4 linked regions of the Rattus norvegicus genome follow. The main gene of each other region encodes a partner of the protein of the gene in region 3 in a complex. Links are inferred from orthologs where the notes say so. Each region holds a gene or a part of one and is shown on either strand. Other genes may lie near its edges. The genes, in order: Senp2, Uspl1, Sumo3 and Senp1.

Region 1 (3,682 bases), on a different chromosome or scaffold from region 3:
TTTCAAACTTTTTTTTTAATTTTAAAATTAGGATTTATTAATCTCTAAACAAAACTGGCCTTGGGAATCCTGACACTGCCCTGTCTCTGCTTCCTGAACTGCCATAAACAAAGCGTGTCATTCTAATGCTTTTCTCAGCATGACAGACTGACTTCTCTAAAACTGTGAGCTAAAATAAACCCTTCCTCCCTTACAGCATTTGTGTCAGGCATTTTAGCAGCAGTGGAAGGAAACTAACATGAAAATCAAATGCTAGAAAAGTGGGCTTGCTGCTGTGACCAACCTCTCTGTGGCTCTTGCAATGTTGGAACTAGTCTGAGGAAGAATATGAAAAAAAATGCAGATTTAGGTCAAAGAGACACTCTACAATGCTGCAGTAGGAGAGATTGACAGGTGCTGGCAAGACCAGACTGAGGAGAAATGCAGACACTGGATTATACTTGTTAGGTTCAGACAGGGCAATGATACTACTATGTAAGAATGGCTGCATTTTCTTTGCCACCTAAAATCTTCCCTGAAATTGAGGGCAATTTAAAAGAGGATGGCATGCAGGAAGAGGTGGTCTATGCCTGTAAACTCTACACTCAGTGGGCAGAGGAGGGAGGATCAGGAGTTGAGGTCAGCCTTACACAGTAAGATCCTGTCTCAAAAGACCGGGCAGGAAAAGGGGGCTGAGGAGGTGGACGAGTTGGTAAAATACTGAGCTTGGTCCAGTATCCATGAAAAAGCTGCTCACAATAGCACATGCATACGCTGTGGGCTGGGGCTTGCTGGTCAGACAGTTCAGCCAAATCAATTCTAGGTTCAGTGAGAAACCAGGTCTCAAAAAAAAAAAAAAAAAAAAAAAAAAAAGATTGAGGAAGACATCTACTGTCTCTACCTCTGACTTCCACATGCATGCACACATATACACCCACCCTGCCTATTCCCTTAAGAAGAAAAAGAGGTAGGGAAGCAATAACTAACAGCAGTGACTAAAGAACTTGAAAGGCTCTTTAGCCACCTGTACAGGGAAGAAAAATGCAGAGCAGAGAGAGTTGAAGCCAACACACCGAAAGCAGTGGACAAGGTGATGCAATTAAAGACTAGCACTGCTGGGGCTCGCCCTGGCACCCTGACCTGCAGAAACCTCAGGTGTTCCTCCCTAGAGTAAGGAACTGACCATGGCTTTTGAGCACAAACCTGCCTGCTCAGTGTTCCATGACTGACCCCAGCACCCGCTGTTTGTCTCCCTGTAATCTTATTTATCTGAGGGGTCAGCAAATGTTCTATGATACACAAGCATAAACCAGAGGGCAACCTCAGGAAGTTGGTTTTCTCTACTAGGTGAGTTCTGGGAATCAAACTCAGGTCTTCAGACTTGGTGGCAAGCACCTGAGCCATCTTGCCAGCCCTGTAAATTCATTTAAAGAGAGCCTTGAGAACAAAGTACTTTTCTTGTAGAAAGCTGCCTGTGGATCACCACCTAAACAGAGGCCACAGCAGCTTTTGTCAAGCTCGTAAGAGACCTCAGTATTGTCTAGGTGCTACTGTTTTTGCAGACATACAATGTGTAGGAATTATAGGGTCATGGAGGTGTTCACCTGATTTCCAAGGGCCTGGAGACTAGGCAATGTTTAACAGGGTCAGCCTTCCTGTGGGGAGTTGGGAGGGCAACAATAAAGCCTCAGTGTCAATGCAGACTCTGGTGAGTTGGAGGAAAGCCATGCGTGAGTGTCCACGGAACCTCAAATGCAAGGCCAACGGTGGCCAAGCTCACAACATGTCAGCTCCTATCTTAAGGTTTTATACAGCAGTTGTCTCTGTTCAGCAGTGATCTTGCTTTGGTCTCACTGCTCCTTTCTGACTGTCCCATCAGTCACTCTGGGATGAACTATTTACCCTGGGCCACAGAATACACAGAAGTGCATCATTTGATTTACATGGGTCTCAAAGCTAGCTGTGGTCTCAATCTCTGACACGTCTTTCAGAAGAGTACTGGCTACTTTGCAAAGTTCTCAGCATCCACATGGTGGCTCACAACCTTCTGCAGCTCTAGTTCTAGTTTTAGGGAACCTGAATCCCTTTCTGGACTCTGGAGACACCAAGCACCCAAGTGCTTGTAGCTTCATCCACAACGTCTTTACCACTGTGGTTTCCTCAACAAACAGTCAGATGAACCAGATCTGGACTCTTGGCCACAGCTGGCAAGTCTGTTATAAAGTTGTAACCACCCAAAAGTTCCCCAGGGAAAGCAGACGGCCTTCCCCCTTCCTATGTCCAAGACGGTGCCCTCTGGAGACTCAGACTCTTGAGAAGCACCTACTTACCCAAGCCCCGATGGCTGAGGGATGAGGGGCAGCTTCAAAGGGTCTGACTTAAGAACTATTCACCTACTCCTGAGTGCTGACTACATACCAGACCAAGGAGATTCACAGTGCCTCATGGTGATTCATAAATGTAATTTGCAAAGTGAGAAAACTTAATTCTAAATGAAATCTTAAAATTAAATGAGCCATGTACCTCTTTTCACTTCTCACTGAACAGAGAGGTCCTCTTGTTTCAACAACTCTATCTGTGGGGATGGAAAGAAGAGATCCTTTACTAACCAATCACAGGTTAGAATTTCAGTACACAGATTCTAAGTACCAGCACATTTGTTTGCACTGATGCTAATGTGAGTTAAAAAGCCACTGGCTGCCTCACATACAAGCACCTAAAATACATGTAACTTTCTCTCCCTTAAATCCTGAGCACAGTTGATAACAGTTCATTTAATAAACTAAAGTCATTCAGTGAATAGTTACTGGAGAAATATAAGAAAGTTAATATAAGGAAGTAAATTAATTTTAATTTCACAAAATATACTACTATACAGTATTTTAGCAATCAACTTAATCTTTTTTTTTTTTTAATAATTTACTTATATATGTGAGTACACTGTAGCTGTCTGCAGACACACCAGAAGAGGGCATCAGATCCCATTACAGATGGCTGTGAGCCACCATGTGGTTGCTGGGATTTGAACTCAGGTCAGCAGTCAGTGCTCTTAACCACTGAGCCATCTCTGCAGCCCCAATCAACTTAATCTTAAAACAATTTTCTTTTTTAAAATAAAACTTTAGGTACTAGATAAGTGCTAGCCGATGTCTAGAAGCCTGACAATATTTTATGGTCTGTTATACCACACTTCAGTAGCGTGCTCTCACATGAACCGCAGGCAGAGTCTTAAGAAAGAGCTAAGTCTGGAACTCACACTGTTTGGGAACCAAATGGGTTGTTCTGACTCCATGATTCTGTTCTTCCATCCAGCCTTTGGTCTTTAATGTGTCCATCTGCGTTCTCTGAGAACTTAGACAAAAGTGAGGAAGATCAGATCAGACACAAAGGAAAAGACCTTAGAGTGTAAGTATTACCATCCCAGCCCACAACAAAACCTATGATATATAGTGGCTAAAGTTAAAATTCCCAAATAATAATCAATTCTTTCTGTATTCAGTACGCTAGACAATCTTGTGATCGACTTGCTGTGTGGGAGTCTGTGTACTTACAATCAGTTGCTAAGTTACCAGATGAGCGGACATGCTGGACTTGCATGTTCCTGCCCACCTCTCCAGGTAAGACATTACCTCCTTTTCCACTCTCACCTATCTGCTCAAATCGCTGGTATTTAATTAACGAGCAACATCAGAAGCAAAGTCCT
Region 2 (3,572 bases), on a different chromosome or scaffold from region 3:
TCTTGCTGGTCATGGTCCACTTCACTAGTAGTATTTTAATCTTGTTTTAATTTTTTGTCTTTAAGGGATTAAAAATAAAATCTGTTGGGCCTCAGACCTCTATTTGTCCTGAGTCACTAAACTGACTTTGATGTCCTAACATCAAAGTGATCTGAAGCCCAGCTGCAGAAAGGACTTCTCCTTTCCTAACCTCCCTAGTTCTCAGAATTCTCTCTAATGGAGTCTGTAAGTTTGAAGGGAAAGAGTTTGCTGTGGGTGCAGTTTTGCAGGTGTCTGTAAGAATACTGTAATCCTGTGAGAGTGCTGTGGGTGTGATATCCACTGCTTGCTGCACCCCTGATGTCTAAAATGGGGGCAGAAAATGTTTGTGCAGTGGGCATGAGAATACTGGGCACCATGCTTTCCCAGTCCACCGCATCTGACTCTGTAGATAGAGCTGTCTGTCTGCTCTGCCACAGGTCCCGGGGTAGTTACTAAGAAGCTATTGTTTATCTCAGCTTCTCATGTGGCATAAATAAAGTGTGAGTAAATATAAGGCTCCACCTTCTTCTAATCCCCGTGACTTTTCAGCATCAGGCCATTTTTTTTCCCAGCATGGTTTTTGTTTAATTTTTTTATTGTAACAAAATGGACATAGTATAATTTCTCCGTTTCAACATTTTTTTTTTCCTTTTTCTTTTTTTTTGGAGCTGGGGACCGAACCCAGGGCCTTGAGCTTCCTAGGCAAGCGCTCTACCACTGAGCTAAATCCCCAACCCCGAGCCTGCACCTTTTATAATCAGAAGGAAAGTCTTAGCCTGCGACTGAGGACAGCCTTGCCAGGGCTTCCTTTGTGGTGCTGAGTGACACAGCAGCTGGGAAGGAAGAATGGTGTCAAGAAGGTCTAACCTGTAGCTGTGTTTCTTGTTTCCCAGGGAGTTGGCTGGAGTGTGATGACCTGAAGGGTCCGTGTGCTAAAAGGCATGAGGCCTGTGAAGTGCCAGCATCAGAGACACATATCGTTATTTGGGAAAGAAAATCCCAGGTGCCAGTTGAAGGAGCTGCCTGCCTTCCACACATGAAGCTGCACGTGCAGTCCGTGTCAGGTGAGGAGCAGCCGAGTTCTCTGGCTGGGACCGCCACCTCAGAACCCTCAGTCGCCCATCCTACACCTATGGCAGTTGCTCCTCAGATTCTTCCAGCAACCCAAGCTGTAGCTCATGGAGATAGTGTCCTTTCAGGAACAGGAGGCTTGCTGGACAGCGTTTCACCCTCTGCACTTGAAGAGACTATCCAGGAAACTGCCTCTGTTTCTCAGATTGACTCCAAAGATTGCCTCTTAGAAGACAAACCTGTGGTAGGAAGTGCAGGACCTGTGAGAACACTGACTTTTCAGCCGCAGGACTCCCTGGGGTCTTCCTTGGTGTTGAACCTGTGTGAAGGAATGCTAGTTGCCCCTTGTGTGGATTCCAGGTTCCCATCCCAAGCTGTGAGCACAGGTCTGCAGGCAGTACCGTCTCAGGCAGGGGACACAGTGGTTCCTAAACCTGTGACTGATGCCCCTGTTCCTGTTCTTGTTCAGGAATTGAAGTCCATGGCAACTGAGGACTCTCAGACACAGTTGCTGCCACTGAAAACTGACAGGTTAAACCCTGGACAACCACCAGGTAAAACTCAGGCATCTAATTTGAGAAAAAGAGAAAATGCAGCGTCTTCTAAACCGGTAGCAGCCAGGTCAGCACAGAATCAGCCTCGGAAGGATGAGCAGAAGAAGGCCTTCGTGGGAAGTTGGGTGAAAGGGCTGCTGAGCAGGGGCGGTGCGTTTATGCCACCCTGTGTTTCAGCTCAGAGTAGAGCAGTAACTGACCTGCAGCCCTCCGTGAAAGGAGCCAATAATTTTGATGGCTTTAAAACGAAAAGTATAAACCGCAGGTCTAAAAGGATGTCCAGGAAAGCTAAGCATGTGGAGGAGGCATCTCCAGGTAGCAGCCCTCCACTGTCGGGTAGCACGGCTGCTCTGCCGCAGGCCGCTGGGAATGCCTCCTCAGCCCAGTTGAAGGAGCAGGAAGGCTCACGTTCAGCTCCCCTCAGCCACAGACCTCCCAGTGATGAAAGCGCCATGTCTCCAGCAGGCCGTGCAGAGGCAGCTGAAGATCAGGTTCATAAGCTTCGGCTCAGACTTCTTAAAAAGCTAAAGGCAAAAAAGAAGAAACTAGCGGCCCTCATGTCTTCCCCACGCCGTGAACCGTCTGTAAGCGACCATTCAGAGCCTGCGTCCCACTGTGGGTCTCCGAATGACTGTGACGCAGTAGAAGATCTGCTCAGAGAGCTACAGTACCAGATTGACCTTGCAGACAACAAGTCTGGGTGCACCTCTGCTCCCGACGGCACCTCATGCAACAGCCAGAGTCATGAGGAGATTTTAGCAGAGCTGTTGTCGCCTACAGCCCTGTCAGAGCCCTCAGAAAGTGGAGAGCCTGAGTTGAGGTACTTGGAAATGGGGGACAACAGCACCCCAACACCAGCACCTAGCGAATTCAGTGCTGTTTCCCAGAACACATGTCTGAACCAGGAGCATAATTACTGCAGCCCTGAGAAAAGCCAGTGTGAGGTTGATCTGCATTCAGTCATCGACAGTGCCTGTGTAAGAGCCTTGAACTTGGGGAGTCCCATGAAGACTGACATTTTTGATGATTTTTTTCCTACTTCAGCATTGAATTCGTTAACAAATGACACATTGGACATACCTCATTTCGATGACTCTCTGTTTGAGAATTGCTGAGTGCATGCTAGTGTCGTCGTTTAGTCCTGACCGCTGCTGCTAGGAGGCTGAGCTGTGGGTAGTGCTGGCTGAAGTGCACAGCCTTGTGCTCCAGCCATGGGGAAACTGTGAACTACTGGGGTCTTCCTCTGGTTCTGCCTGTGAGACATGAGATCTCTGCAAATTAAAGTCCTCAGACAAGTTTCTGTCGGTTTCATCTTGTGATTGTGGAAGAATGGTGGGTTCTGACGTTGGTGTATGGGGCCTGGGGAGATGGGTCAAGTGTAAGGATGCCCAGCAAACATGGCCACTGAGTTCCATTCCCAGAACCGTGTAAGATGTGGCAGTGCACACCGGGAGTGCCAGCAGCTTGCTGACCAGGACCAGCCGATCAGCTCCAGCTGCAGTGGAGACTGTCTCACCCAACACTGCCCTGGCCTCTAAACCATGCACATGTACACGCGCGCGCGCACACGCACACTCACAGTACCTTTCAGTATTTAAGACTCGGCCTTCTGTGAGTCAGGTGACAGTGAGTTTACAGATGGGCACATAGGGTGAAGTGTGAGTGATGCACAAGTTAGAAATATTGGGCTAGGCAGCCTCAGGCTCCAAGACAAAGCCACTTGTTCACAAAGGCATCTGCCTCTCTAGTGATAGTTAAACTTGAATTTTAACTATCCAAGTGGTCCGCCTGGTCAGCAACGGTGTATTTAATTATTTATCTCTCACTTACCCCTAAATCCCCCCTCTAATATATCCCCATTATTATGGAAATAATGCATGTTCTAAGGAAGATGTACCGTGTGTCTTGTGTGAGGGTGGGGTCCAC
Region 3 (4,382 bases):
CTTGGCTCTTTGACTGGTAAGAAAAGCCAGCATAAAGCCAAGGGTGGAGAACCAGAAGGGCACTAGGGGACCCTGAGTGAATCCAGTGGAGGTGGTAAAGGCTGAGGTCCCCCCAGGCCCTCTGATCTCAGACTCTGCTCTTTCTTCTGGGCTCCGTATAGCTCTAAAGAATACGTGTGCTCAGGGCCCCGGGTTCCATCCTCCATACTGGAGGAAAAAACCGTATTGAGTGGCAGTAGTTTTTATATAATCACGATACACACAAGCTGCTGGACAAGGGCCGAGTCAGCACTTCTTGCTGCCTGGAAACACATTTTGAACAATAAGTTTGTTATGGGCCGCACAGCCAACCTTGGGTTGTTCAGTCTGAAAAGGACCTCCTTTCTGTTGTTCAGAGCAGGCTCGGCCCACGGGATGCACCATTTCAGCCACCATGGATAAGAGTTCACAGGGGCTTTTTAACCTTTATGATTGTTTTCATGTATATTAGTATTTGCTTGCACGTCTGTCTGTGAATCACACGTAGGCAGTGTCCAAGGAGGCCAGAAGAAGGTGCCAGATCCTCCGGGAGTGAAGTTACAGATGTTTGTCAGCAGTAACGTGGGAGCTGGGACTTGAACCAGGTCCTCTGAAAGAGCCACCTGCGACCCTAACTGCTGAGCAGTCTGCAGCCTTGGGACCATTAACTAATATTTTATATGCATTGGGGTTTTGCCTGCATGCGTGTCTGTGTGAGAGGGTCAGATTGGGGTGTTACAGACAGGAGTGAGCTGCCATGTGGGTGCTGAGAACTGAACTCTGGTCCCCTGGAGAACAGTCAGTGCTCCTAACCACTAAGCCATCCCTCCAGCTGAGAACCTTTTATTTCTAAGGAGACAGATCCCTTATTCTACTTGCAGACCAAGCTTTCTCCCTGTCCTCACGCCAGCTTTTTCCCCACAGTTCCACAGAACATGCTCCACAAGAAGCACCCTGTTTCCCTGGGATGTCCTCAGCAACTTTTTATCCCTGGAGAAAGAGGTAGAACAGTCAACCTGCCCTGCACTGGGTTCTAACAGTCTTGGATAGGAGCACAGCTCTTTCTAGTCTGAGGAATGGTCGGCAGGAGAGAGGTTCCAACAGGGTCCTGAAAGAACACGCCTTGGGGCACCATTCTCCCATCCCCTCCTGTGTGAGACTTCCCCCCACTTCAGTTCAGGACACCAGTGACACAGCAGTACTGCTCACAGAGCTTGGCACCTGCCCCAAAGGGTGGGATCCCACATGAGAAAAAGTGAGGTCTGTAAGCCAGAAGCATGAACAATTCTAGGTCCCAAGATGCACTGACTTCTATCCCAAAAGGATATGTGTGTGTGTGCTCAAAACTGAGACAAAGGTGAAAAGGCCTCAGGCATGCTTTCCTGGATAGCAGGATGCCTGGTTCCGGTCTGGAGTTCTCTAATTAACAAGTAAACTCAGAAGAACGAGGGCTTAGCACAGTGACTGCCATCACCCCAGCACTCCTGGGTCTAGGTGGAGGCCAGTTTGAGTTACACAGGGAAACCAGTCTCAAAACACAGCAAAACCAAACGAAGGCAGGCCACCCTTAGTGACACACGCTTTTAATCCCAACATTCGGGAGGCTGAAGCAGGAGGATCTCTTTGAGTTTGAAAACAGCCTGGACTACAAAGAAAGCTTATCTAAAAGAGAGTGGGGTAATTGGGGGTGAGGGGAGGGTCGTAACTCACTGGTTACTCATCTGCCTAGTGTACAAAAGTCCCTGGGCTGCATCACCAAAATATAAAAAAGAATATAAGCCTCTGCCTCCCCTAACCTGGAGAGACAGAAGGCGTGGTCTTTCCAGTGCCACATCAGGCATTCACTTCTTGCCTAGCTCATCAAAAGGTTACAACTCTTGTTGCAGTTACCAGCTACAAAATATAAAGTAAGTGTCTACTCTTGGCAGAGGACGAACTGTGCTCATTCAATATCCGGGATGGTGCAGGCAGGACCCAAGGCTGAGCTGAAATTAAAGGTAAGGGCCCTGCAGGAATGAGATCTCTGGGCTCGGCTGCTGAGCATGGTACCACGGCATTCCAGATGCTTGCCCTGGTCCTAGGGTCTGTCATCAGAACCAAGAAAGTGGTCATCTCCAGGCCGGTCAAGAGCACAGAATACCAGGCTCCAACGTTCATCTCCCGTTGGATAAAACTATCCCCACCAGAGCAGGCTGGAAAAACTGTTCAATTTGGAATGGGCAAACCCGGCCTTTCCAAGCACCAATTGCGGAGACCACCGCGATGGAGTGGGAGGGCATGCGGCCGGGCGAACATTGGAAGCTCGGAGCGGCCAGCCTTGCTCCCACACTGGTGCAGCTCTCACAGCGACCGCTGCGCCTCGCGCACGGCATGCAAAAGACAGCCGTGTCCGGAGTGAGGACCGACGGGGAGCCCTGTGAACCAAGAACCAGCACCCAAGTTCCGGGTTCTCGGGGGCGTGGGCGTGGCTCCATCTGAGGCGGGGCTAGTCCGGGGGCGGAGCCTTGTCGTGGCGGGAGGCACAGCCGGAGGCGGGGCTAGAGCAAAGCTCCGGGGAGGAGTGCGATGCCGGTGGGGGAGGGGCGCGGTAGAGTGGGGGAGGGGCGCGGAGGCCCGGGCGCGGTCCCGCGGGTCCCGTTTGCGCGCGGCCCAGCCTGCGTCCCGCGGAATCTGCTGCGTCTTGCGTACCGGGCTTACCTTGGGCTTCTCTTCCGACATGGTTGCGCGGCGACGGCGGCGGCAAGCGCAGCGGGAACCGGTGGCACTGGAGCGGGCGAGTCACGCTCTCTGCCCCGCCGCTCTCCCGCCGCAACTGTCGCGGGGCCGCGCTTTATCCCTAAATCCCGGCGCGCCGGTTGGCCGCGCGGAGTCACGTGGTCGGGCGCGTGCACGAGGCGCGTGCCCCGCGCCGCGGGTGCGCGCTGGCCAGCCGCGATTCCGGACGGTTGCAAATGCGTCACGGGGCGGGTCAGGCGCCCGGGCGCGCGCAGGGCCCCGGGGACGCGCGACTCGTGGCCCTGGGCCCAGAGACCCCCCCCGGATGTGGGTGCAAGACTGTGCGGCTACGCAGGGAGTAGGGAGGCACGGGAGAACTTGGGGGCACGAGTGCTAAGTCAGAAGGCAGAGGAACGCTTTGGTCCAACCGGCAGCCACTTCGACACCCACGTTTGGGGACTTTTCTCATATACAGGCTGCATTTGGGGAAGGGAAGGCGAAGAAACTCAGGGATGTCCGACTAACCCTTTCAGGTGGTCCAGAGGACCAGTAAGGAGGTTACCAGGCATGGTTTATGGACCACACACTCCTAGAACAGGCCTCTGGCTTTGAATCTGAATGTCACAGCGAGGGCTCATGTCTGAAAAAGGCATCCTTTGAGGGCACAGAGGATGGCTTCTGTTGGCCCTGAAAGCCAGCACATAACTCCTATTTCCATTTGACTTCCTGGGTGGGGTGGACCAGCCTCCAAAGCACATTCCCAACATGGCTCCCAGAGGGACATGCCTCTTCCTCTTCATTCTCCCTGTCTATCTATCTTCTTCCTCCTTACATAGTCCCAAAGTAGCCACTAGGTGGCTGGGGTAGGTGATAGTGGCAGGCACAGAAGGCCTTCCTTTTGACCTACCATTTATTTGCCCAGTTTCTGGAATGCTGTTAATAACCCACTTTACACAGGACACTAAGATACCTAGAATTTTAATAGTATGCCCAAGCAGTCAACTTGGTAAGCAGGGAAAGAAACACTTGAGCATCAAGCCGCTAGATCCATCGGGAGCGCTAGCTAGGGTGTCGAGAGTGTCTTTTCCTTGTATCTTGTCATGAACTTTTAGAATGCAGTCCACAGGCCCTCTGTGTCTAAATGCTAACACCTGCAAAACACACCAGTTGGGACTGACACAGTCACCCACAGTAGTCCCAAGAGGCTGTTGGTGGCCATGTTTCAGAACCACACAGCGGCCTCCAGAGAACTGGCACTCTGTTTGACAGAACTATGTTTCTGTTCCAAAGGAGGGCCAGCAGAGAAGTATCCCTACTTCTTGGTAGCACTGCAAAGCCACTAAGCCAAGTATCTGTGAGCCCAACCTTTAAAGCCTCCTTCCCCTGTACACAAAACCTCTCCTCGGGAAGTTTGTCAAGGTCTTTCCACAAAGACTCATTTGGAAGTCATCCTTCACCCCAACCAGAACAAAGTGTGGATTTTCCTCAAACACAGACCATGGTCATCCTCAGCTGAACAAAATGTCCAGCTCAGACTGTGTGTGTGTTTGGGGTGGGGGTGGGGGCAAACTCCAGAAACCAGCCTGGCTGAAGCAGTTGTTGGAGATCAGAGCACACTTTCTCTCCACTGAAAGCTATAAGGGACTCCG
Region 4 (4,327 bases), on a different chromosome or scaffold from region 3:
TGTCTGTGTACCATGTGCATACCTAGTGCTTGTGGAGGTTAAAAAAGGGCTTCAGATCCCCTGGAACTGGAGCTATGGATGCCTGTGAGTCTCTGTGTGAGAGAAGCTGAACCTAGGTCTTCGAAGAGCAGGACACCTCTTAACCACTGAGCTTTACCTCCTGCAGTAGGGCATTAGGGTAGCATTCTTTAGGGTCCAGATTAAGGTGGGGGAAAAAATCCAACAACCAAAGTTACTTTCTGATTGTGACTAGTTTATTCTGCATACCTTAAAAAGAAGTCAGGCTGGAGAGATGGCTCAGTAGTTAGGAGCACTGACTGCTCTTCCAGAGGTCCTGAGTTCAAATCCCAGCAACCACATGGTGGCTCACAACCATCTGATATGAGATCTGATGCCCTCTTCTGGTATGTATGAAGACAGCTACAGTGTATTCATACATAATAAATAAATCTTTTAACAAAATGCCAATTTAAAAGTCTAGTATCTACAACTTGGGAGATAGGAAGATTCCAAGTTTGAGGCCACTTGGATTATATAGCAAGATACTCTCTCTCTCTCTCTCTCTCTCTCTCTCTCTCTCTCTCTTTTTTTTTTTTTTTTTTTTTTTCTGGAGCTGGGGACCGAACCCAGGGCCTTGTGCTTGCTAGGCAAGTGCTCTACCACTGAGCTAAATCCCCAACCCCTTAAGATACTCTCTCAGAAGGAAAAAAAAAAATCTGGTATCCAGTAGAATAATCCCAATTAATTTTTTTTTTTCACTTTAGAGATGTGGAAGGAGAAAACAAGCTAGAAGTTCAATAATTCAAAAAGTTAACTGACTTGCATAAAATCACACAGATGGGGCAAAAGGAAGGACTCAAGAATTCCTCAACAAATACACACTCAAGCTTAGCACAGTTTCACATCCTTCAAACAAATTCACTCAAAGATTTACCTGGGCAATTGAAAAATCACCTCCAACTAGCTTTGAGTAATCTAGTCTGGCTCGTATACGTAAATGATTATTCATCCCTTTTTACAAATACACCTTGCTTCTTCGGTGTGCTTCCTCTACCTTCTTTAGTAATGATGTTGGAAGAAGAGATTTTTAAAAAACAAGAAAAAAAAAATCAAGATTCTACGAGTCCTAAATAAGGAGCCTTAGGTGTCATCAAATTCAAGCAAGGATGACAGTTTTTTATTTTAAGAAAATCTTTGTTGCTCAGTGGTGGTAAAGTCACACACCTTTCACCTCAGCCATGTGTGAGGCAAAAGTAGGTGGATCTCTTGTGAGTTTGAGGTCAGCCTGGTCTACTGAGCGAGTTTCAAGATAACCAAGGTTACACAGAGAAACCCTGTCTCAAAATATATATACGCATACATATATATAAAAAATTCTAATAATGTCTCCCTAATATTCATCATTCATTTAACTTACAGAATGTTACTAAGCAGCTGCTTATTAATGTGAATCAAGTTAGCAGCTGAACACCAAGTGAAAGGGAAATCTCCTGCAATAGAATACAAAGTAGTAAATTACTTGTAAGTCTGTATGCTTTGGAAGAGAGGATTATAAAAATGAATGTTTAGAGCACTAATGATGTGACTAGAAAATACAGTCCTGTACAGTTACCTGTATGCAGGTCCAAGATACCGAGTGGAAGTAAGCATGTGAGTGACCCTACTCTGAGTTCTGGAAAACAACTATACCTATGATACAGTTCACACTTGTTCAGGTCCTCATCATAGTATTTTTATGTGTACTCTCTCCCCCAGTTGGATTAGTACCTTAAGCACTTTAATACTCTACACCTCTAAACAGTAACTGCTTACACACATACACTAAGTGTGGGGTTCTGGGATAGAAACATGAGGAAGCTCTGGCCTTTGCCCTTTAGAAGTTTTCAGGCTAGGCGAGGAAGCCAGATGTATTCACAGACAGCAAAACTAGCATGACTGGTAGGAGAAGAAGTCAGTGGAAGAAAAAACTTCCCTCACCTTAGCCACAAGTGGCAGAACCTGTTTGTAAACTCATCCACTCCCTCTCCAGATGAGTGAGGCTACACCCACTTTCTCGAGGTGTGGATAATTAACTGAAATCAGGTTATGAAGCTCTGTAAAATGGACTGGGGGGCAGGTAGTCTAACTGGAAGGTTCAGGTTATTATTACAGGTGTCACTGTAACCTCAAAGGCAGTAATCCACATTTCAGCAAGAGTCCCGAATACAAACTATCTTTACGAAGAACACTTAGGCATGCTCTACTTCATCCAGAATTTCCTATTACAATGAAAACCCTACATCGAATAGTTGATAGCCTATTAAAGAACTACACAAAATTTTACAAGAATCACCATCACTCCAAATACAATATGTATGCCACATGATCTAAGTAATTTTAACAAGTGTGACTTAAAAGTGATAAAGGAGCAAGTTATTGCCAACAAGATAACAGAAAAACTGTAGAGGTACTGATAAAACAGAAATCACCAAGCTCAAGACAAGGGAAACCCAGCATATATCCAGAAAGATCACGTTAGGGTATACGAAGAAAAGGTTCAAGGCAATTACCAAGAGGCGATGAGCCAGGTAAGAAAACTGTGGCAGTTAAGGGGTTTCTCATAACCTGTGCAGAAGGGTCCAGACGTTTCTCTCTGGTGATGGCTCTAGCGCTATCACACCCCAGGGAAATACCACAGGGTAAAAGAGTTGGAGAATTGTTTACGTGAGACACAGTAGTCGAGAAGCAGCATTCAGGTTTCAAGGAAGAGAGGTGAAGCAGGTGGGAGCGAAAGCTGAACTTCCTCGTTGAAAACAGCTCTCCTTCCAGAGGACCCTGCTCTGGCGGGAAACTCCGGGAATCCCAACCGGCCTTTTCTCTTTGGGAAAGTAGAGTTGGGCGCAGAGAAGGCCCTGCTGTGACCGCATGGAGATGGCCTCTCCGCGGGTCAGGAGACGGAGGCCTGAAAGGGCGGCCTCAGTAAGCCCAACTACCAGACCCGGGCCAGACAGCCGCCACCGGACAGCAGGGGGGAATGGAGGTGGTCCCGAGGGGCGGGGCGGAAGAAAGGGCACGGTCCCCACCGCGGTCCTCTCTTCCGCTCAGCCCAGCGGAGGCCAGCGGGCCCGGTCCGACACAGCCTCCCGGCCCAGTCTCCCTCCATCCTCACCCCTCCCCCAGTTTCCCGCCGCCACTCACCGAACCGGAACCGGCTGCTAGGCAAAGGGGTTTCCGGCCGGGCGCGGACCGCAAAGCCCGGGAACCTCCGTGAACCGGAACCGTCTTTACAATACCGGAAGACCGTTTGGCGGGCGCCCGAGGAGGAAAGGGGGTGGGGCAAGAGGTCAAAGAGCTCGTGGAACGCCTGCGCGAGGTGGCGAGGCCTGAGAAGCTGAGGGAGCGTTTGACTCTAGTTTCAATCTTCCTGTCACCCTGTCAGACTGGGGTTTTTTCTCTTCGTCGCACTTCGAGTACTGTTAGTGCGCCCGCCGTCCTTTGCTTTTCTCTGTCCCTCCGCTCCTTGACCCGCTGTCTCCTGGTTCCGTTCGTTGACTTTTTTTTGGCTTACATGCAGGTTTCCATGGCAGCTGTTCGCTGTGGCCCTAGATGTTTAGAAACCTGCGCCTTCCCTGACAAATGAGGACTTGAGATCTAAATTGATTTCTAACTATGTCTTTTGAAAACCAGTGTGCATCTTGTCACACTTGACTGATCACAAGAAGTGGGGCTAGGGGAAACAGAGACTAAGAGAAACTTTGGGAACATCTTAACTTAGACTCTTAACAACACGCCAAACCTTATATAACTGGAATAATTTAAAACAGTGATCTCTAATGGGGTTCACCAGAGGTCTTAAACATGTAATAATGTGAGACTTTTTAAGACAGAATAATGGAGGAAAAATTAGCTTGTTCAAATTATTTACCGAGCTTCTGGCCCAGACCCTATTTAGAAGCTTGGAAAAGGCGCTTCAGAATAGTTCTAGACCCACTTAACTGCCTGTCTGAATTTGGTCTTTAAGTAGGGGAAGCCTCTAGAATCTACCAGCCTTTTCCATACTCTTAAGCATAAGGAGGTAAACTCGTTTGTTCAGGGGTTTTATATACTTGTTATGTATATAAAATATTATTTATATCACCTTACATGCTGATATTTTTATAGGGCCAAGCCCTAAAACCCAGTGGTATTAAGTATACATAGACCATGTCGACCTTTGACACTTTAAATATTCTATGGATCTATTTATTTGGGTTAAACTCTCTTTATTTCTAGGAAATAGCCATGCGTAAAGACGAATTCCATCTGAGATTTTTCATGTGCGTGTTTGAGTCTCGCCATGTAGTCAGGA

The links.
Region 1: the proteins of Sumo3 (region 3) and Senp2 are in contact, whole or in part, in a crystal structure (PDB 2IO1), measured with the Homo sapiens proteins. The link is inferred for Rattus norvegicus from reciprocal best matches to the Homo sapiens genes SUMO3 and SENP2. Residues at the interface, in NP_008867.2 of Homo sapiens: Arg55, Arg58, Arg60, Phe61, Asp62, Gly63, Pro65, Asn67, Asp70, Leu75, Asp81, Asp84, Phe86, Gln87, Gln88, Gln89, Thr90, Gly91, Gly92, Val93, Pro94, Glu95; in NP_067640.2 of Homo sapiens: Gln385, Asp386, Phe393, Lys394, Leu395, Arg396, Trp410, Leu411, Asn412, Asp413, Glu414, Ser439, Thr440, Phe441, Pro444, Lys445, Arg456, Trp457, Lys459, His474, Lys476, Val477, His478, Trp479, Met497, Gln499, Gln542, Asn544, Gly545, Ser546.
Region 2: the proteins of Sumo3 (region 3) and Uspl1 are in contact, whole or in part, in a crystal structure (PDB 7ZJU), measured with the Homo sapiens proteins. The link is inferred for Rattus norvegicus from reciprocal best matches to the Homo sapiens genes SUMO3 and USPL1. Residues at the interface, in NP_008867.2 of Homo sapiens: Gln24, Asp25, Gly26, Ser27, Val28, Arg58, Arg60, Gly63, Gln64, Pro65, Ile66, Asn67, Asp70, Leu75, Phe86, Gln87, Gln89, Thr90, Gly91; in NP_005791.3 of Homo sapiens: Ala234, Cys236, Trp237, Pro321, Gln322, Leu323, Arg324, Met330, Glu331, Ser332, Val334, Phe335, Leu339, Tyr368, Thr378, Thr380, His393, Phe394, Gly395, Pro396, Asn398, Arg407, His421, Val423, Tyr451, Asn454, Asn455, His456, Phe457, His493.
Region 4: the proteins of Sumo3 (region 3) and Senp1 are in contact, whole or in part, in a crystal structure (PDB 6NNQ), measured with the Homo sapiens proteins. The link is inferred for Rattus norvegicus from reciprocal best matches to the Homo sapiens genes SUMO3 and SENP1. Residues at the interface, in NP_008867.2 of Homo sapiens: Gln24, Ser53, Arg55, Gln56, Arg58, Arg60, Asp62, Gly63, Pro65, Asn67, Thr69, Asp70, Gln74, Glu76, Asp84, Phe86, Gln87, Gln88, Gln89, Thr90, Gly91, Gly92; in NP_001254523.1 of Homo sapiens: Gln440, Asp441, Glu446, Arg449, Leu450, Thr451, Lys455, Trp465, Leu466, Asn467, Asp468, Glu469, Asn494, Thr495, Phe496, Lys500, Arg511, Trp512, Lys514, Lys515, His529, Gly531, Val532, His533, Trp534, Gln597, Gly600, Ser601, Asp602, Cys603.

The regions. Positions count from the first base shown.
Region 1 is NC_086029.1:92,502,079-92,505,760, forward strand, and holds part of Senp2 (sentrin-specific protease 2), read right to left. Parts: intron 3,331-3,682; coding exon 3,236-3,330; intron 2,555-3,235; coding exon 2,503-2,554; intron 1-2,502. UniProt on the Homo sapiens protein: Protease that catalyzes two essential functions in the SUMO pathway.
Region 2 is NC_086030.1:10,859,142-10,862,713, reverse strand, and holds the end of Uspl1 (SUMO-specific isopeptidase USPL1), read left to right. Parts: intron 1-914; coding exon 915-2,761; 3' UTR 2,762-2,950; downstream 2,951-3,572. UniProt on the Homo sapiens protein: SUMO-specific isopeptidase involved in protein desumoylation. Specifically binds SUMO proteins with a higher affinity for SUMO2 and SUMO3 which it cleaves more efficiently. Also able to process full-length SUMO proteins to their mature forms.
Region 3 is NC_086038.1:11,017,476-11,021,857, forward strand, and holds the start of Sumo3 (small ubiquitin-related modifier 3), read right to left. Parts: upstream 2,813-4,382; 5' UTR 2,737-2,812; coding exon 2,716-2,736; intron 1-2,715. UniProt on the Homo sapiens protein: Ubiquitin-like protein which can be covalently attached to target lysines either as a monomer or as a lysine-linked polymer. Does not seem to be involved in protein degradation and may function as an antagonist of ubiquitin in the degradation process.
Region 4 is NC_086025.1:131,097,401-131,101,727, forward strand, and holds the start of Senp1 (sentrin-specific protease 1), read right to left. Parts: upstream 2,837-4,327; 5' UTR 2,732-2,836; coding exon of another isoform or gene 2,704-2,731; exon of another isoform or gene 2,605-2,703; 5' UTR 2,602-2,604; coding exon 2,550-2,601; intron 1-2,549. Other genes in the region: Pfkm (ATP-dependent 6-phosphofructokinase, muscle type), read left to right, coding at 4,261-4,327. UniProt on the Homo sapiens protein: Protease that catalyzes two essential functions in the SUMO pathway.